4 linked regions of the Nothobranchius furzeri genome follow. The protein of the gene in region 2 purifies or fractionates together with the protein of the main gene of each other region. This does not show direct contact. Links are inferred from orthologs where the notes say so. Each region holds a gene or a part of one and is shown on either strand. Other genes may lie near its edges.

Region 1 (4,671 bases), on a different chromosome or scaffold from region 2:
GTACTCAGATACAAGTATCAGTATCGTATCGGCGAGGAAAAAAGTGGCATTGTTGCATCCCTACTGAGAACAGTGTTGAGATTTAACGTTTGGTTGAACTCCGAGTTCAAAAGCAGATTCTGCGTCAGAAATGATTGCGTAACCTGATGTTGTCGGGCTTGGGCGGCGTTATCGCATCCAGCCGGTGTGGAACAATAGCATCGGTGTCAGTTCCGATACCGTCATGAAAAAAACCAGTGCACGTAGGAGACAGAGATAAAAAATAAACAAAAATAAATAAAGGTTATTTAAAGCATAAAACAGAAGCATGGCTGAATTTTTGGTTTTACTTAAATAGTTTAAAATGTTTTGTCGACATTTTAGAGATGTTCCACAAAGTTTATGAACATGATGTCATCACATGACAGCGCCGAGAGAAGAAATGGCAGCTCGCGTACCAGCTGACCGGGAGTCTTAAAAAAACCACAACTTCTGGTGAACTCTTATGAGGTCATTTGTGCAAACAAAAGAGGACAGCGAAAGCCGCCCGCCCCGTCGGCACGGCAGAGCAGCGAGCCGTAGCTGAAGAGGCAGATTTCTGTCTGCAGCCGTCATTAAAAGGCACGACTACAGGCCTTTCTGGTGGAAATAAGCAGCCAGCCTTCCCCAGATGTCACGACTAGCCCAAAGGTAACCGGCCGTCTGCCACAAGCGAGTTTTCAGCAGTTGGGGGCTGAAGCCGAAAAAGGTAAACGTGCAGGTTTTACAGGTGAAAAATCTTTTTATAAGCTTGTTTTTTTATTAAAGTTGTTAATATTAGGTGTGTTATGTTGTTAGTGTTTGTTATTGAGTTTCTGAACGGTGAAGGTCCAAACCAACAGTTTGAAGGCTTACGTCATCATTTTTAAATTAGTCCCAGTAATACCGCACACCGTGGTAAAATGTGGAGGAAGCTAGGTGGGATTAAAATGTGAGCACCGCCCACGTCTAGATGTTATCAGTGACATTTTACCATACGGCTGACCAGGACCTCTACATATCAGCATCAGCAAAAGAAAAACCAATTTGTCAATCTCTAATCAGCAACCACTCCATTCAGAGGCTGCACCAAATCCTCTGGGTTGGACCAGAACAGCAGAAATGTGGTCAACTGGATCAGAACTCTGGAGTATTGTTTCAAGAGCTGGGGTCTAAGAGCTCTGGTCCAAAGAGGAAAAGGAACATCCAGGCTGTCAGCATCAGGACCAAAAGCCCGTTCCTGGTTCAGAAACAAAATAAGACCCGCGAGTCTTTATCATCAGAAGTTAAAGAGGATGGCTACTGATGAAGAGCCTGTTGGAAAAGGTAGGTTTTAAGCTTGCGCTTGAACAAAGATAACTCAAAAGTCAAACTCAGGTCATCAGGGAGTTTGTTCCAGACTGCTGGAGTCACGACTGAAAAAGAGCGGTCACCCCAGTGCTTGTATCGAGGTCGAGGGACTGAGTTAGTGGACCGTGTTAGCTGACGTAAGGACAAGGAGTCAGAGAGATAGGCAGGACCGAGGCCATGGATGCTCGTGAACATTATGAATTTGAATTGTGTTCTGAAAAATACAGGAAGCCAGTGCAGTTCTAAGCGAATGGGAGTAATATGGCTGCCCCAAGGTGTGTTAGTGAGGAGACGGGCTGCGGTATTTTGGGCTAGCTGCAGACGAGCGATGGAGGACTTGGATAGGGCATTGCAGTAACCGATGTGCGAGCTTATAAGGGCATGACTGACTTTTTCCAGGTCCTAAGTTGATAAAAACTTGACTTGACCGCCGCATTGATCTGTTTGTCGAAATTCATGTGTTCATCGAAGATGACACTGAGGTTTCAAACATGTTGCTTACGTCTAATGGCCTGCTGATCGAGGTCAGTAGAGACCTGATGGTGTAAAAAAAAATCCACATTCTAGAAAAGTGCTGATCCAGATTCAGGACCACAGGTCTGGATCTGGATGCTGGGAGGCACTAAAACCACATCTGGACTGACTGTTGCTGCTGCCCCCACCTGCACATCCAGCCCTCATAAATCCCCACCCCTATTACCTGTTGTGTGACTACAGCATCCCAGTCGTTGCTATGGTTACCTGAAGCCTTTGGGAAGCGGGTCAGACTTTGACCTGACCGTTGTGGTGAAAACAGTGTAGTACTGGTGTTGTACCGCTACAGCGGCGTTTCCTTTATGATTACACTTTTGTTAATCACGACACTGCTGACACGGTGGGGTCTCTTTATGGAGTTAAATGTTGTGTAAAAGCCTTCAAACCCTCCAGAACCCTCCCGTTTAGCCTCGTTAGCATCCCCGTTAGCCTGTTAGCTCCCTACCTGCTCCACCGTGGCCGGGTCCATGAACTGCAACCGGGCGGCGTTCTCGTACTCGTCCTCGCTGTTGTTCCCTGCTCCTTCCTCCGTATCCTGACTGGACCCTACACCTCCGGGTCCGGTCACCCCCGGCTGGCCTCCCCCGGCCAGAGCAGCGACCACCCCACCGGAGCAGGTTCCTGCCTGCCGCCGCCTCTTGCTCAGCCCGGGCCCGGAGCAGCAACCGCCTATCGACCCGCCGCATCCAACGACACCGGCAGGCACAACAAGCTCCCCGCGGGAGCCGGTAACCATTCCACCGCTACCGTCTCTGCCATCTCCCGGCCCTACCGGGGACACGGAGCCAACGGGCGGCGGAGAGGCCTGCTGCGGCCGGGAGCTCGCCTCGATGCTCCGCCTGTCCTCTCTGGCGGAGGGGGGAGCAGTCTGGTAAGACCACGGCGGAGGGGAGGCTCTGGGTCGGGCTCCGGTCCGCCCAGCGTGCGGGTGTGGGTGTTGGTGAGGGTCGGAGCTGCTCCGACGGTCGCTGTCATCGGCGTGGTCCGAGACGCCGACACCAGAGCTGGGCTTCTTCTTGGGGAGGATCGTCATGGTGGAGCAGGGAGGCGGTCAGAGGGTGACGAGTCCCCGTTCTGGATAAAACTAGTCGGTCTATTCACCTTCTGAACGAGCGGTTCGGCTCCAGTCACCGAGTTAAGACCCTTAACGGACCGAAACCGACCAAAGAAACAACAATTCTGTTTACATTCGACGGTGGAGTTGAACAAAAACAAAAAGCGTCTCCCTCTTCCCGTTCTCCAAAACATCAACACAGCCTGACTGGGCGCTGTGACGTAACATCCGGCCGGCAGCGTCATGACGTAAACCTGACCTTTAACACACAGAATCACTATTTTTATTATTAATCATTTATTCTATAAAACTCTACAAAACATTTTTGTTTTAATTCTTATCGCTTTTCAGCTTTTTGTGTAAAATTACGAAACAAACAAAACAAAAAAACAATAAAAACTGATGCTGCGAATCATTTAAAGAGCAACTCACCCCCCAAATAAACTTTTGCTTAGTCAACCCCTACCAGAGTCTAACTCCACTCTCACTTCATGTTTGAAAAATGCAACAAATGCTGTTGCCTGGCAGACCGAGAAGGCGGAGCTGCTAACAAATACACACACACACACAGGCTCACGACAGCATTGTGACATCATAATGTACCAGTTTACATCATAGCATACCTCTTCGCCAATAGCGGTGGCAGATTTAAATTGAAATACAGTGCAGAGTTTTTACCTGACAACGGCACAACACTGCCAGTTTTAGGCAGAATATTTAAATTTTAACTAAGATGCACTAAAGTGCCAAATTATTGACGACACGTGTCTGCAGCACGATTAGACACTCGTTTATTTAGTTTATCAGCAAAAAAAAAGTTTATTTGGGGGGGTGACTTGCTCTTTAAGCAACAACAGAATGCTGTTATTTACACTTGATTAAAAGTCATTTGTTTTGCTCTTTGTGATGATTTTTCTTTCAGTGATAAGTAGGGCCAGCAGTAGCTCAAGAGGTTGGGTTGGTTGTCCAGTAATCAGAAGGTTGCAGGTCCGATCCCGGCTCCCACCAGAGAATCCTGCTGTTGTGTCCTTGGGCAAGAAAATTACCCCCCACCCCCCCCAACCCCACCCCGCCCGCCCCCTGGTGGCGGTCGGAAGGACCGGTGACACCTGGGTTTGGCAGCCTCGCCTCCGTCAGTGTGCCCCAGGGCAGCTGTGGCTATGTTGTAGCTCATCACCACCAGTGTGTGAACGGATGAATGATACACTGACACTGAAAGGCGCTATAAAAGTGCAGTTCAAGTCAAAGTTTTGAATGAGAAAATAATCACCCCCTCTGAAGGACTACAATCGTATTGCTCTGTGAATAACGCCAGCTGTTGCTGGAGCTGACATCAGACGGACCATGGGTGGCAATCCACATTTAAAAGATTTCAGGGAAAGAGTTGTGGACAGACTACGGAAAATTTCAATCTCAAGGAGCAGCACAGTAAAGTCTCCAATAAAGAAGGGGACAGTGTTTGGTGCAACTGGGACCCTCCCTTGTTCTGTGTGGAAGTGCAAGGAGGAAACTGATGTTCTACAGACTTTTTACCATAGCTTTGCTGAGTATCATCACCTTCTCAATAATCTGCTGGTTCCACTCCATCCGTCTCCACAACAGGAAGCGACTGCAGAGGATTGCTTCACTCTGCTCTAAAATAACCGGGTCCTTAATTGTCCCTCGGAGACAAAGAAAGCTTTTTGGAACTGAATCTGGTGAGGAGGCTACCAAGAGGCTGGTGGCCTCTCTGCAGG
Region 2 (3,994 bases):
ACGTTATTTGTTACTCACAAGTTTACCTTTCTGTGAAGTTCACCTCCACATTTTCTGAAGGTATTTTCTGCACTTCTTTCAAATTCAGGTAAATTTTGACAAATTTGTCAGACTGATCCCATGCTGTGAATAAATATTTATATAATTTTAAAAATGGAACAATGTGGAGAATTTGCTACTGCCCTCATAAACCTTTAATCTTGAAAGCTCTTTACCATAGCTAGTGATCTTCACTGTGTACGCTGCTTTGGAGGCTGAAGAAGGTTCTGCTTCTCTCCTAGCTTGTTGCTCCTGCTGTAGCCGTTTGGCTGTGAGTTCTTTCTCCACCTTCTTCTGCTCCTCCTTTAGCAGATCCTGAACCCTTTTCCTTTCTGCTTTCCCCAAGAGGGAACCTAGCTCCTGCAGGTCTGATTCCAGCTGACTAATCTGTTGGACAAAAAGGAGGGTGGAGGTAGTGGTGAAAGCAGAGAAACAGATGAACACACATTTTCAGTATAAACCACGGTAAAGGGTATTAACAGTTATAATAACACATTAAAAAAAAACTATTTTTTACATCAAGATTATCTTGTTATCCAATCAACAATATGTATACCAGGAAATAAATGTAGGACTCAGACATATGGCTCAGACTTTTTGCTGCAGCTGTAAACGCAACTTTACGTAATCATTGAGAGCACAAAGCCAAACAAAATACAGCTAATCACAAAGAATTAGTAGCAGCAGCTAAGACGTAAGACGTCTTTGAGCATGCAAAACAGGGATGTCCCGATACAACTTTTTTCACTTCCGATACGATACAGATTATACAGCCTTAAGTACTGACCGATACAGATATCAATCTGATATGAAATCAGCACAAATCACACATATTTTTACCTATTTCATAGCGTGAAATGCATAAAAGACTTGATCAAGTGATTTTATTCAAACAGAAAAGAAAAGTCAACCTTTGGTTGCAAAAATGTGGAGGGCAGGGACTAGGGCCTGACCGATATATCGTCCGGCCGATATTATTGGCTGATATTGGGGTCATTAACAGTATCGGCTATCGGCCAAAAAGACGGCCGATATTGCGCTACCTATCCAGCAGATGGTGCCTGCTTTATGAACTCATGTTGTGTGGCTCCACTCCTTTGAACACAAATTATTGTTTTGGAACTTTTTTTTTTTCAATTTATTCTTATTTATGTTTCTTATGTGCAATTATTTCCTGTCCAGGGTGAATAAGTTCACCAAGTTAACTTCCACAGAGTGTTACTTTGTTACAAAGCACAAGTATTACGTTTTATTTATTGCTGTATTTTTATTATTTTAATATTCTTATAGGGATCTTCTGTCCCTAAACTTGTGCATGTTGTTAGATTCCCCAGAGTTAGCTAAGTCAGAAAAAACATTATGTAACCAGTTGTTTTAGCATTAAGCAATGGAAGGGAAGGCTTGCATTCACCTACATAAAAAACGCTACAGTGTATGTGAATTCACTTACATTGTTTTATGCTAAACTAAGAAAACCAACTGCTGCCAGATCATATTGGGCTGGTTATAAAATGCTTTTTCTGACTTGTCCAACTCTGGGGAATCTTAACAAGACACAATTTTACTGAGTGGTGGAATAATCCTTTAAGTTAAAATGTATTTGTGGAAACCACAGTATACAAGAAAAAACTTGAATGTTAGATTTATGCTGTGACTGAGTTTGTGTGTTCTGTTGTTTTTGAGATCTGCTAAATAAGTCTTATTTGCATTACTTGGAAACCCTAGTGAGTTATTGAGACCGTTCTTTGGTGTGTAATAGCAAAATAAGTAAGCATCAAAAAGGCAGAGAATGAAGGGTTTAAGCTTAAGAAAATTTTTATTTCTTTTTTTGTGAGGGAGATTTACCGGCCATTATATCTGCTATCGGCCTTTGTTAAAAGTTTTATATCGGTATCGGTCCCAAAAAAGCATATCGATCGGGCCTTAGCAGGGACATAAGAAAAAAAAACACAATATTGTTCATTGACCAACTGCTACAAGTCGAGTGTCTAAAGTTTAAAGTTCACACACTCCAAAAATCCTCATGCAATGTTTTGTGATCCTGCTTCAAGTGCACGATGAGGTTGGACTTAAGTCTCTGCAATGAAAAAAAAGTCTCTGCAATGGCTCTCATTTAAATGCCATGCAGAATTTTTTATTTTTTGAAGCTCTTAATGGCTCAGCTCTCCTTTACATACAGTCCAGGGTTGTCACGGTAACCGGTGTAGCGGTAAACCCCGGTAAAAAAGTTGACAATAATAATAACCTCTCTAGTTTTAAAAAAAATATATATTATCTTGGTGGATTACCGTGGCTGCGGTGTAGGCGCAGTGACCCTTACCAGCCACCGTATCATCTGCTGAAGTTGCCGGCGGCACATGCGCACTTTACTGTTTACAACCAAAACTTTCTTGAAGCTAAAGCTGAAATAATGGTTAAAGGAGGAGACGGCTGCGCTCAGGACATTTATTATCCCTCAAAGAAGACAAAGTCGGAAGTATGGGCATTTTTTGGATATTTGAAGAATGCCGAGGGACACTTGCTAGAAGACAGCTATCCTGTTTGCAGCACGTGCAGAAAAAGTGTCTGTGAAAGGCAGCAACCCTTCAAATCTCATGACACATCTGCATGATCATCACCCACAACTCTACAATCAATGCAAGGCAAGTTGACGTTAGTGTTTTAGCTAAAATGCGTGATCCGAGGACTTGGGTTGAGGAATAAAGCAACGAATCCAAGATGAGATCCAAAAAGCTGTTAAACTCAGTGAAGCAAGCCATCATTAGGCTGAAAAAACAAAAGAAACCTATCAGAGAGATAGCAAAAACATTAGGCGTGGCCAAAACAAGTTTGGAACATTCTCAAAAAGAAGGAACACACCGGTGAGCTCAGCAACACCAAAATACCTGGAAGACCACGGAAAATAACTGTGGTTGATGACCGAAGAATCCTTTCCCTGGTGAAGAAAACACCCTTCACAACAGTTGGCCAGATCAATAATGCTCTCCAGGAGGTAGGTGTATCTGTGTCAAAGTCAACAATCAAGAGAAGACTCCACCAGTGTGAATACAGAGGGTTCACCACAAGATGTAAACCGTTGGTGAGCCCCAAAAACAGGAAGGCCAGATTAGAGTTTGCCAAACAACATCTAAAAAAGCCTTCACAGTTCTGGAACAACATCCTATGGACAGATGAGGCCAAGATCAACTTGTACCAGAGTGATGGGAAGAGAAGAGTATGGAGACGGAAAGGAACTGCTCATGATCCCAAGCGTACCACCTCATCAGTGAAGCATGGTGCTGGAAGAGTCATGACGTGGGCATGTATGGCTGCCAGTGGAACTGGTTCTCTTGTATTTATTGATAACTGCTGACAAAAAAAGCACAATGAATTCTCAAGTGTGTCAGGCAATATTATCTGCTCATATTCAGCTGAATATTTCACTTGCTGAAGACAAAACTGAAGGGAAAATGCCCCAGGAACAAGCAGGAACTGAAGACTGTTGCAGTAGAAGCCTGGCAGAGCATCACCAGGGATGAAACCCAACGTCTGGTGACATCTATGTGTTCCAGACTTCAGGCTGTAATTGACTGCAAAGGACTTGCAACCAAGTATTGAAATGTCTAAGTTTGATTTATGGTTCTTATTCTGTAAAGTGACCTTGGGTGACCTGAAAGGTGCTTTTAAATAAAATGTATTGTTATTATTATTATTAAGTAATTAATTAGCAAATCTAACATACAGTCTGGATAACTGTTCGTTTATCCAGACATGTCAGAAAAGGGGACCGCACATTTGCACAACATATATTGGTATTGGCCAATGTTAGTAATTTTTTTAACACATCTGTTTCGGTTGAATAAGTAAAACTGGGCCGAAATTAATAACCACTATTTTTCCCAACATGTTTCCATTTGTGTATTTTTAAGAGTTTGAGGGGGGGTGATGATGTGTAATTGTTTAGTTTCTAGGGCTG
Region 3 (3,930 bases), on a different chromosome or scaffold from region 2:
GGCACTTTTAGGATTTTAATCTCCAGCTTCAACCTTTTTTGTTTTTGTTGTTTTGTTTTTCCTATTTTTGTCGATGACTTGTGAAATTTTTAGTCGGATGTTTGTTTCTCCTTTGACCATTCCACACATTCTGCAAACTCATCTGAGACCAAATGGGTACTATAATATTATGTGTTGTAAAGTTTTATATTATAAATAAAATTTTGTATGTTTTTTATGAAAAAAATGGTAAATTACTTTTTAAAAAGTTTTTTTTTTCTAAAAATGTGTTTTTTTGTTTTTGTTTTTTTGGAGTCAAGTGTTACTGCAGCAGCATTCAAACTATATCTGTGCATGCCTAAACTTTGTTACATTTCTGAGGGTTTTATATAAAAGGCTTTAATTTACTGTCTGCTTGCAGCTTCCCAACTGTGGATAAAATGTATGCTGAGTTGTTGTCTTCCTCCAGCAGAGGGTGCCCTTATAATACAAATCTGTGCTTTTCTATTCGGGGCATTCAGGTTTGAGGCACACACACACCTCTAAGATGTCTTTGTATCTTTGAACTCCTGGTGTGTTGTTTTTGTTTGATGTAATAAAAGTGTTTGGAATATCTCTGAAGACTGCAAACTTAAAATTTTAAGGATGATTTCAAAGTAAATTTAAAGAAAAAGAGCCAAAGAAACAAGAAAATGTAACACATGCTCTCTGAACAGGTTTTATTTACTCCTTCAATGTGGATTTCCTCAAAGTTTCCAGTGTCAAAACATGAATCTGGAACTCGCTCTGCATGATGGACATCGTTCCGCCTTCAAACTGCTCATTTTTATACACAAGTTCACAAAACCGATACATTTACAGAGCAAAAACAATTCACCCTCCTGTTTCCATCGGCAAAAAAGTGAAGGTTGTTTAATTATCTAAAAGAAAACATTGCCATAGAAAAAAGAACAAGGATACGAAAAATGTAGCTTTTTATGTTTTAGAGGGAAATACAAAGCCATGAAACCATGAATATAATTATATTCATGAGTGGAAACGGTAACAAGCGTTTCAGCTTTAAATTAATGACACCATACAGGTCAGAATTAAATGTTCATGCTTTTATTGGTACACAGAAATAATAAGCTGGGGGATGGTAATTATACTAAAATATTAACAAGTATGAACATCGCCAGTGCAACCAGTTACAGATCGTTTCAGTGTGGTAGTGTTGGCAGCATCTTCCCTTTTACTTTTCTTCACACCACTGGTTCTCTTTGCGTACCTGTGGACAAAAAGCAGTTTAAAAGCTTTGTTTTCCTTGAGCATCACTTTTGAGGACTTTTTTTTTTTTTACCTGGGCTTCCTCCTCCTCCGTGAAATCGTTTTTGATGTTGAACGTCTTCCTGATCTCCTCTGGGGTTTTGCCTTTGATCATATTGGCCACCGTCTTGCAAGTGACGTCTAACAGGCCTTTGATGTCCAAATAGTTGGCGGCCTGAACAGAAAATAAATGACATTCGGATGTGGAAGATGCTGTGAGATGGCACAAATGCCTCTGATGAATAAGTAACTTTAATGTCTAATATAGGAACTATGAATAAAAGTTTTACATCAGTAAAGCTGGGCCAGTTAGCGTTAGCATGTTAAATACAGAACTATTACAGGGTAACTGCAGGTTTAAGGGAGTCAAATTTAAGACTTTTTAAGACCTTTTTAAGGCCACTTTGACCAAATTTAAGCTATATTTTAAAATTCAATTTCTGCTATAATTTCCAGCTATTGCCTGGAACCGGTGCTAACCACATCGCGAACGTGGGATTAGCCATCCAATTACCATTAAACTTGCACTTCTCCATGGCGTAAGCTCCCACTAGCTTAATCAGCTAATGTGCTCATCTAAAACTAGCCCCCTTTCACAACCAACTGAATGTGTACGGTTCCGCTTACGCCAACATTGTACACAAAAAATGCTGAACACTAACTGGAAATTCACGAAAATGTCATAGAAATGAAATAATCTAGTTTATTGGGTCTTTGGTAATTTAAGACCTTTGGAAACTGTATTTAAGGATCATTTGTCATTTTTAAGGATTTTCAAGGCCTTAAATTTGGAAAAGTAAATGTAAGACTTTTTAAGGACCTGCGGATACCCTGCATTATCCAAATCTGCTTCCACTTCATTAACAAGGAACTTTTTATACAACTTAAAATCAGCATCTGTCTCTTTTACTAGATGTTGCTAAGCAACATTTGTGTTTTTGGTGATCAAATCAGACCACAAAAAAGACAGAATTAGGGATGTCCCGATACGACACCGATTTCAATACGATACCAGCACAAATCATACTTTTACCTATTCCGTAGTGTGGAATGTATGAAAGGCTTGATGAAGTGATATTACTCAATCGGAGAACAAGAGCCAATAACAGTAAGTATGAAAAAAAATTTGACCCTTTTTTTAAACCACTGGTCGCAAAAATGTGAACCTTAACAAACTGCTTATATTGGAGATTTATGATGCAGTCCGATATAATCCAATAGTGTTTTTGGGCCGATAATGAATTGCTTCTGATATCGGAATGGGACATCCCTAGACAGAATACTAGTGATGCACCGATATCATATATCGGCGATATGAAATTTTTTGTGCCGATACCGATATTGGTCGATATCGATATACTGGCATTAATGCTTCTAAAATCAGCAGATTTTGTATAGAATGAAAATTATAAATTATTAAAGCTGGATTTACATTATTATGTACACACACCACACACATTTATGGTTCTGAAATGATTTCATTCACTGTTCACAAGACTAAATTACACATCACCCTCTGAAACAGGCAAACAAATGGGGACAAGATGGAAAAATATCGGTTGTTAATATTGGCCTGGTTTTCTTTATTGAACAGATATGTTAAAAAATAGCTAACATCAGCCGATACCGTTATATTGTCCATCCCTACAGAATACCCAATTACACAAAACTTGACAAAAAAAATTTTTTTTAAAATAATCATCAAACGAGGACGTTTGAAGTAACGGGTGTAAATAAAGATCTGGATCGGAGTTAAGAGAAAACAAGCACTTATATCGTTTGAAGAACATATTCATGGGGCTTTGGGACATTCTGACGTGTTTCTGTGTAACACATCAGTTTTTATCTTACTTCTTGTAGACAGCTTCCTGAAGAGCCTCAGTTTGAAGAAAGTGTTTACGTTTTAACTAATGATGTGCTAAAGCTAATCCAAACACAAGTGGATCGCTAACGTCTCCAAGCTCCTCTTATAAACTACATTTCAAATCAGTTCACATGAATAATTATAGCTGTACAATACAAAATAAGTTGCCTTTTTAAACACTTATTTTATTTATAGTAATGTTTACAGTGAGCGCATTTTAGGCTGAGTGTTATGGAGAGCTGCGGCGAAGAGGTCGGCTGCCAATCAGAATTTGTAGCAGAACTATAAACTATGTGTAATATTTGCAAAAACAACAACTTTTCTGGTTTTGCCTGACCCAAACTTCTAATAATGACCTAAAAACAGAGAGGACATTTTTTCCAGTTGATTCAACCTCAAGAGTTAAGAATTCTGCTGAGGGGTGAAAATCTGTTTAAGGGGTGCGGGAAAAGCATCAATTTCAATGTAGCTAACGCATTTAGCAGCAAAATAAGAATAATGTTTAATGAAACATATTTACCAGAATGAGTTCAAACAAGGTGCCTTGGTCCACTTTGAGGAACTCCTGGTCCCAGACGGGAATGTCGTCCGTCCTTTTCTCTTTGTTCTCATCATCCTCGGGAGGAGGAGGATCATCTTTGTGATGAGTGCACCACTGAATCACCTAAAGGGGAAAACATGTTTATTCTTAACTGAAACTACATAATTTTATACATTCGTGTTAAGATTTACGCAGACAGAAACATGTGCACAACATTCCCCCGTGATGAAGGAATTTTGAG
Region 4 (4,733 bases), on a different chromosome or scaffold from region 2:
ATAAACCACCTACACATAGTAGGTATATTAGCTGTTTTAATGTAATTAAAAATTTCTTTGTCAACAAAATAATGTAAAGGAGGAATGTGATTGTCCCAAATCGTATTGTAATGGATGACCCAGATGCCTTTCAGAAAGCAGAAATGGAGATACTTGGCAATGCTTGTACTGCAACCTGATGAGCAAATGTTTCTATTATCACTCTAGCCATTTTTACAAAACAATGCCATTAATTTGCCGCAATGCCGTGGCAGCATCAGGGAGCCTTAGGTTGTTCATAAGTGGTCAGACTGTGGCGGTAATGTGGTGCAATCGTGTCCTTTTTATAAGATTAAGGCGGTGTGTATTGTAAAAGGGCTTCTGAGATGCTGAATTATTTAATCTCACCCCCCCCCCCCAAACCGAAAGTATTTTACACAGATTTCAACACAAGAAGGTGACATGTTTCATCATGTTGTTTATTATGAAGAGGAAGAAAATATCATTTCGATAGCGCTTCTCAAGATAAAAATCACGAGGCGCTTCACAAAAACAAAAAATGAAAAAATATAAAAAAGAATTTAGAAAATGGTTAAAAATATATTTTAAATGAGCAAAAAAAATGGGCAATTGTAATTAAAAAATGTTAAGAAAGAGAGAGAGTGAACAGGAAAGAGGGAAATCAGTGGATCCTGAGGAAGGTGGAATAGGTGGGGAGAGCAGAACAAAAAGAGAGAGGTGAAGAAGGTCATACAAAAGCCAGCTTGAACAGGTGAGTCTTCAGCTGCTTTTTAAAGGAGACCACTGAGTCCACTGATCTCAGGCTCAGGGGGAGAGAGTTCCAGAGTCTGGGGGCCACAGCAGCAAATGATCTGTCACCTTTGGTCTTTAGTCTGGTGCTGCACAACCAGTAGGCTTTGATCACCGGACCTCAGGGACCTGCTGGGGGTGTAGGGACTAAGAAGATCACCAATGTAAGATGGTGCTTGTCCATGTAAGGCCCTATAGACCAGAACCAGGATCTTGAAATGAACCCTGAAGTTGACTGGCAGCCAGTGAAGCTGGAGGAGAAGCGGAGTGATGTGGGTGTGTTTGGAGGACTTGGTCAGAAGCCGAGCACAGGCATTCCGAACCACCTGTAGACGGTTCAGGGAGGTTCTGCTCAGACACGTGAAAAGAGAGTTACAGTAGTCTAAGCATGAGGAGATGAAGGAGTGGAGAACTGTCTCAAGTTCAGAGCGGGACAGAATGGGACTCAGCTTAGCAACGTTCCTGAGATGGAAGAAGGAAGAGCAAACAAGAGAAATGACATGAGAATCCAGGGTGAGAGCTGGGTCAAAGGTCACGCCAAGATTCCTGACAGAAGGTTTGGTGTGGGAAGCAAGCTGACCAAGAGAGTCTCTGACTTTGGGAACCAGCTTGTCTGGGGCACAGATGAGGATCTCAGTCTTATCTTCATTCAGCTGAAGAAAGCTCCCAGCCATCCAGGTTTTGATAGAGTCTAAGCAGGTGTGTAACAGCTGCAGCTTAGACATCTCATGGGGCTTAAAGGAGATGTACAGTTGGATGTCATCTGCATAAAGATGGTAGGATATTCCTTTGAAGGAGCTCAGGATGTGCTGAAGAGGAAGCAGATAGAGGAGGAAGAGCAGAGAACCTTGTGGGACACCATGGGTAAGGGTGGTGGTGAAGGACCTAAACTTGGAGACGGCCATAGAAAAGGAGTGCTCAGAAAGATAATGTAATATAGTACAGTAACTAATTCTTTAGCTCACTGTTTGTATATATGTGTGTGTGGTTGTTTTTTTACATTTACATTTATACACTTGCTACGCTACTAAATACCAGTACTGTGAAACAAACCTGGCTAAAACTAAGATGAGAAGGGTTTTTTACACTATCTATGAATAATTACTATCAAAAAATGATTGACATTTTGTCAAAATAATAATTTACAGTTCTGGTTAGAACATCTTGTTTACCTCAAACACAAACTGCCTCAAATATTTCCATTCAGCTCCTCGATTCCTCACATCTGGCAGAAATGCTCTGCCTGCCTAAAAAGACACAGACCCTGCCTGAATAAAAAGGAAAAAATTATTGCATTTAAAAAAAAACTTTTAGTCTGATGATTGTAAACCACATATGCAAGAACATTAAATCCCATATCACGTATACACAATGTACTCAAATGAGTTTAACTAGCTGAAATCTGAGATTAAGTACTTTCTAAAAAAATTTACCATACCGACAGTTTTTTTGGAGGATAAAGAATTTGAACTTTAAATTGAGCGTAGCCATTTTCATACATATTCACATCCTCAGGCTGACTTTTCAACGTGATTTTACAATAAACATATTTATCTACTGTCCTGGTTAACAAATGAATGATTCCAAAAAATGAAAAGAAACAGCTTTGAGATCAACATGTTTCCATCATATTTCAGAGCAAGGAGCACAAAACTTAGCTGAGCATCGAGGTTTCTCAATGTTATCTTCACGCATATAATAACACTTTAAACTAAATCGTAAAAACTTGATTTTTAATAACGTAAACATGCGTCAAAGAGAAAAATATCTTAATGGTTTACAAAGTACAGCAGCACAGTTTGACTGTCACGATTTCTGAATATGTAACGTTAGCTAGCCCAGCTAGCGGCTACGCTGTCGTTGGTTTCCTTTGGACATTAGCTATAAGCTAACCAGACTGACCTCCGTTAGAGACAACTTCACACACCAATAGCTGTTTACAGTCAGCTGCACTGCTCAAGATATAACAGCTGACTGATATACTTACTCAGACATTGAGTAAAATAGATCCTTTTCACAATTCAGGCTGTTTTCAGACGTCGTACCAACACTAGCCCCTTGCTAATCACGTCTTGGTGCTACGTCATACAAGTCTACGTCTCAATCGACACGAGGGGAAACGTCATCACGCAAAACTGCAGAAATCCCAAAAGTGAATTTTATAATGAAAAATGTCTCTCTTACCGAAACAATGTTAATCACTAACACTGTCGAAAATGTCCTTATCCGGTTAAAACTTTCATAACGGACTGCTGTTTCTTTGTACATTCTTTTTTTAATTGTCTGTTTGTTAATCAGTTTTGGGTAAATAATTGTATAAACATTAATCCGGACTTCAAGTTATAATGGAGAAATGTGTTATTTGGGTTCCTCAGAAATGACATTGAGATTAAAAAAACACATTAATATTATAATAATGTAAGCTAAATGCCATGTTGAAAAGTTTGTTTGTTTTCAAGAGCTCAGACAATACATTTCCTCCATTATGATTTCATCCAATAAAAAAGCCTCAAATGGATCAATTTTGTGAAATAATTGTTAAGCATCAGTCTAATGTGCTCTGTTATGCTCTGTTATGTTATGCATCTGTGTAAATTTGTAAATAAGAATGTGTGTGTGTGTATATACATGTATGCTTTTATACTGAAAAGTACCTGTAGAGGAAGTTAAACTTTGACCTCGTAAATTGACCAATAAAAGGGAGCATTGGTGTTTTAGTGGCCGCAATCAGTGTGTGCTACCACCAGTGAAGGCCCGTGAAACAGACGCTCTGTTTATGGATTTATTTCCTCCTTTTTTTAATCCTGGAGATTCATTTTGGAGTCTTGGACCAACCGCTGGGTAAACGAAACTCTGCTAACAGGTTATGGGCCCAGCACGCTTCCGCTGCGCACCAAGCTAATCAGGACAGCTGGGAAAGCATCCTGCTAGCGTGTGAGGAGCACAGAACCGACCAACAGCAAGTCCGGTGAGTCGAGTGAGAGCTACGACGTGTGTCGGACACTATGAGTCGGAAGACAGTGGAAGCCAGTACCCGCTGGTCAAGACTGGTATTTGACGGAGACGAGGATAAATATGAACTGTGGGAAACAAAGTTTCTCGGACACCTCCGGCTACAAGGTTTGAAAGACATTATATTAAAACCGAAAGACGATGACGATGATGAGGAATATGATTCAAAGAACGCAGAGGCATATGCCGAACTTATACAATTCCTGGATGATAAGAGCCTTTCACTGGTGATGAGAGACGCAGCTGACGACGGGCGGAAAGCTCTAATTATCTTGAGAGAACACTATGCCGGGAAGGGAAAACCCCGCATAATAAGCTTATATACAGAACTGACTGCATTACAGCAGAAGAGCGGCGAGAGTGTAACGGATTATGTTTTGAGAGCCGAGGCCGCCATTACAGCGCTGAGAACCGCAGGTGAAACTTTGAGCGATGGACTGCTAATAGCAATGGTTTTAAAAGGTCTACCTGACTCATTTACGCCTTTTAGAATCCATGTGACACAAAGTGATGATGACATGACTTTTTCAGAATTTAAAAGTAAACTGAGAAGTTATGAAGAAACTGAAAAACTGCGTGTGGACACTGCCACAGAGGACAATGTGATGGCAGCACGGATGAATGAGAGGGTCAAGCACCTGAAGCCGAAATATGTTCAACCAAGCATGCACGAGCGGAGCGCTGATAGTAAAGACTTTATTTGTTTTAAATGCGGTAAAAAGGGACACAAAGCTAATGTATGTGACCGCAAAAAGTGGTGTAGGCATTGCAAGACCACCACGCACCAGACTGAAGTGTGCAGAAAGAAACACAGAGATGATGAAGCACGGAAAGCTGCTGATGACTACGAGGGAAAGGAATACGCATTCCGACTACAAGACGCTGACGGCGAGATGGACGAAACCAGAACCAGGAATCTGATGGTGGACACA

The links.
Region 1: the proteins of cacybp (region 2) and otud5a purify together in Homo sapiens (affinity purification with mass spectrometry; 4 studies listed by BioGRID and IntAct, with this or other methods). This does not show direct contact. The link is inferred for Nothobranchius furzeri from reciprocal best matches to the Homo sapiens genes CACYBP and OTUD5.
Region 3: the proteins of cacybp (region 2) and skp1 purify together in Homo sapiens (affinity purification with western blotting; 6 studies listed by BioGRID, with this or other methods). This does not show direct contact. The link is inferred for Nothobranchius furzeri from reciprocal best matches to the Homo sapiens genes CACYBP and SKP1.
Region 4: the proteins of cacybp (region 2) and rnf41 purify together in Homo sapiens (affinity purification with mass spectrometry; 4 studies listed by BioGRID and IntAct, with this or other methods). This does not show direct contact. The link is inferred for Nothobranchius furzeri from reciprocal best matches to the Homo sapiens genes CACYBP and RNF41.

Annotation. Positions count from the first base shown.
Region 1 is NC_091755.1:47,032,750-47,037,420, reverse strand, and holds the start of otud5a (OTU domain-containing protein 5-A), read right to left. Parts: upstream 3,140-4,671; 5' UTR 2,915-3,139; coding exon 2,327-2,914; intron 1-2,326. UniProt on the Homo sapiens protein: Deubiquitinating enzyme that functions as a negative regulator of the innate immune system. Has peptidase activity towards 'Lys-48'- and 'Lys-63'-linked polyubiquitin chains. Can also cleave 'Lys-11'-linked ubiquitin chains (in vitro).
Region 2 is NC_091751.1:54,233,234-54,237,227, reverse strand, and holds part of cacybp (calcyclin-binding protein), read right to left. Parts: intron 427-3,994; coding exon 216-426; intron 124-215; coding exon 27-123; intron 1-26. UniProt on the Homo sapiens protein: May be involved in calcium-dependent ubiquitination and subsequent proteasomal degradation of target proteins. Probably serves as a molecular bridge in ubiquitin E3 complexes. Participates in the ubiquitin-mediated degradation of beta-catenin (CTNNB1).
Region 3 is NC_091750.1:60,005,770-60,009,699, forward strand, and holds the end of skp1 (S-phase kinase-associated protein 1), read right to left. Parts: intron 3,813-3,930; coding exon 3,669-3,812; intron 1,460-3,668; coding exon 1,319-1,459; intron 1,247-1,318; coding exon 1,211-1,246; 3' UTR 684-1,210; downstream 1-683. UniProt on the Homo sapiens protein: Essential component of the SCF (SKP1-CUL1-F-box protein) ubiquitin ligase complex, which mediates the ubiquitination of proteins involved in cell cycle progression, signal transduction and transcription.
Region 4 is NC_091755.1:37,149,426-37,154,158, forward strand, and holds the start of rnf41 (E3 ubiquitin-protein ligase NRDP1), read right to left. Parts: upstream 2,902-4,733; 5' UTR 2,777-2,901; intron 2,058-2,776; 5' UTR 1,962-2,057; intron 1-1,961. Other genes in the region: uncharacterized protein, read left to right, coding at 3,795-4,733. UniProt on the Homo sapiens protein: Acts as E3 ubiquitin-protein ligase and regulates the degradation of target proteins. Polyubiquitinates MYD88. Negatively regulates MYD88-dependent production of pro-inflammatory cytokines.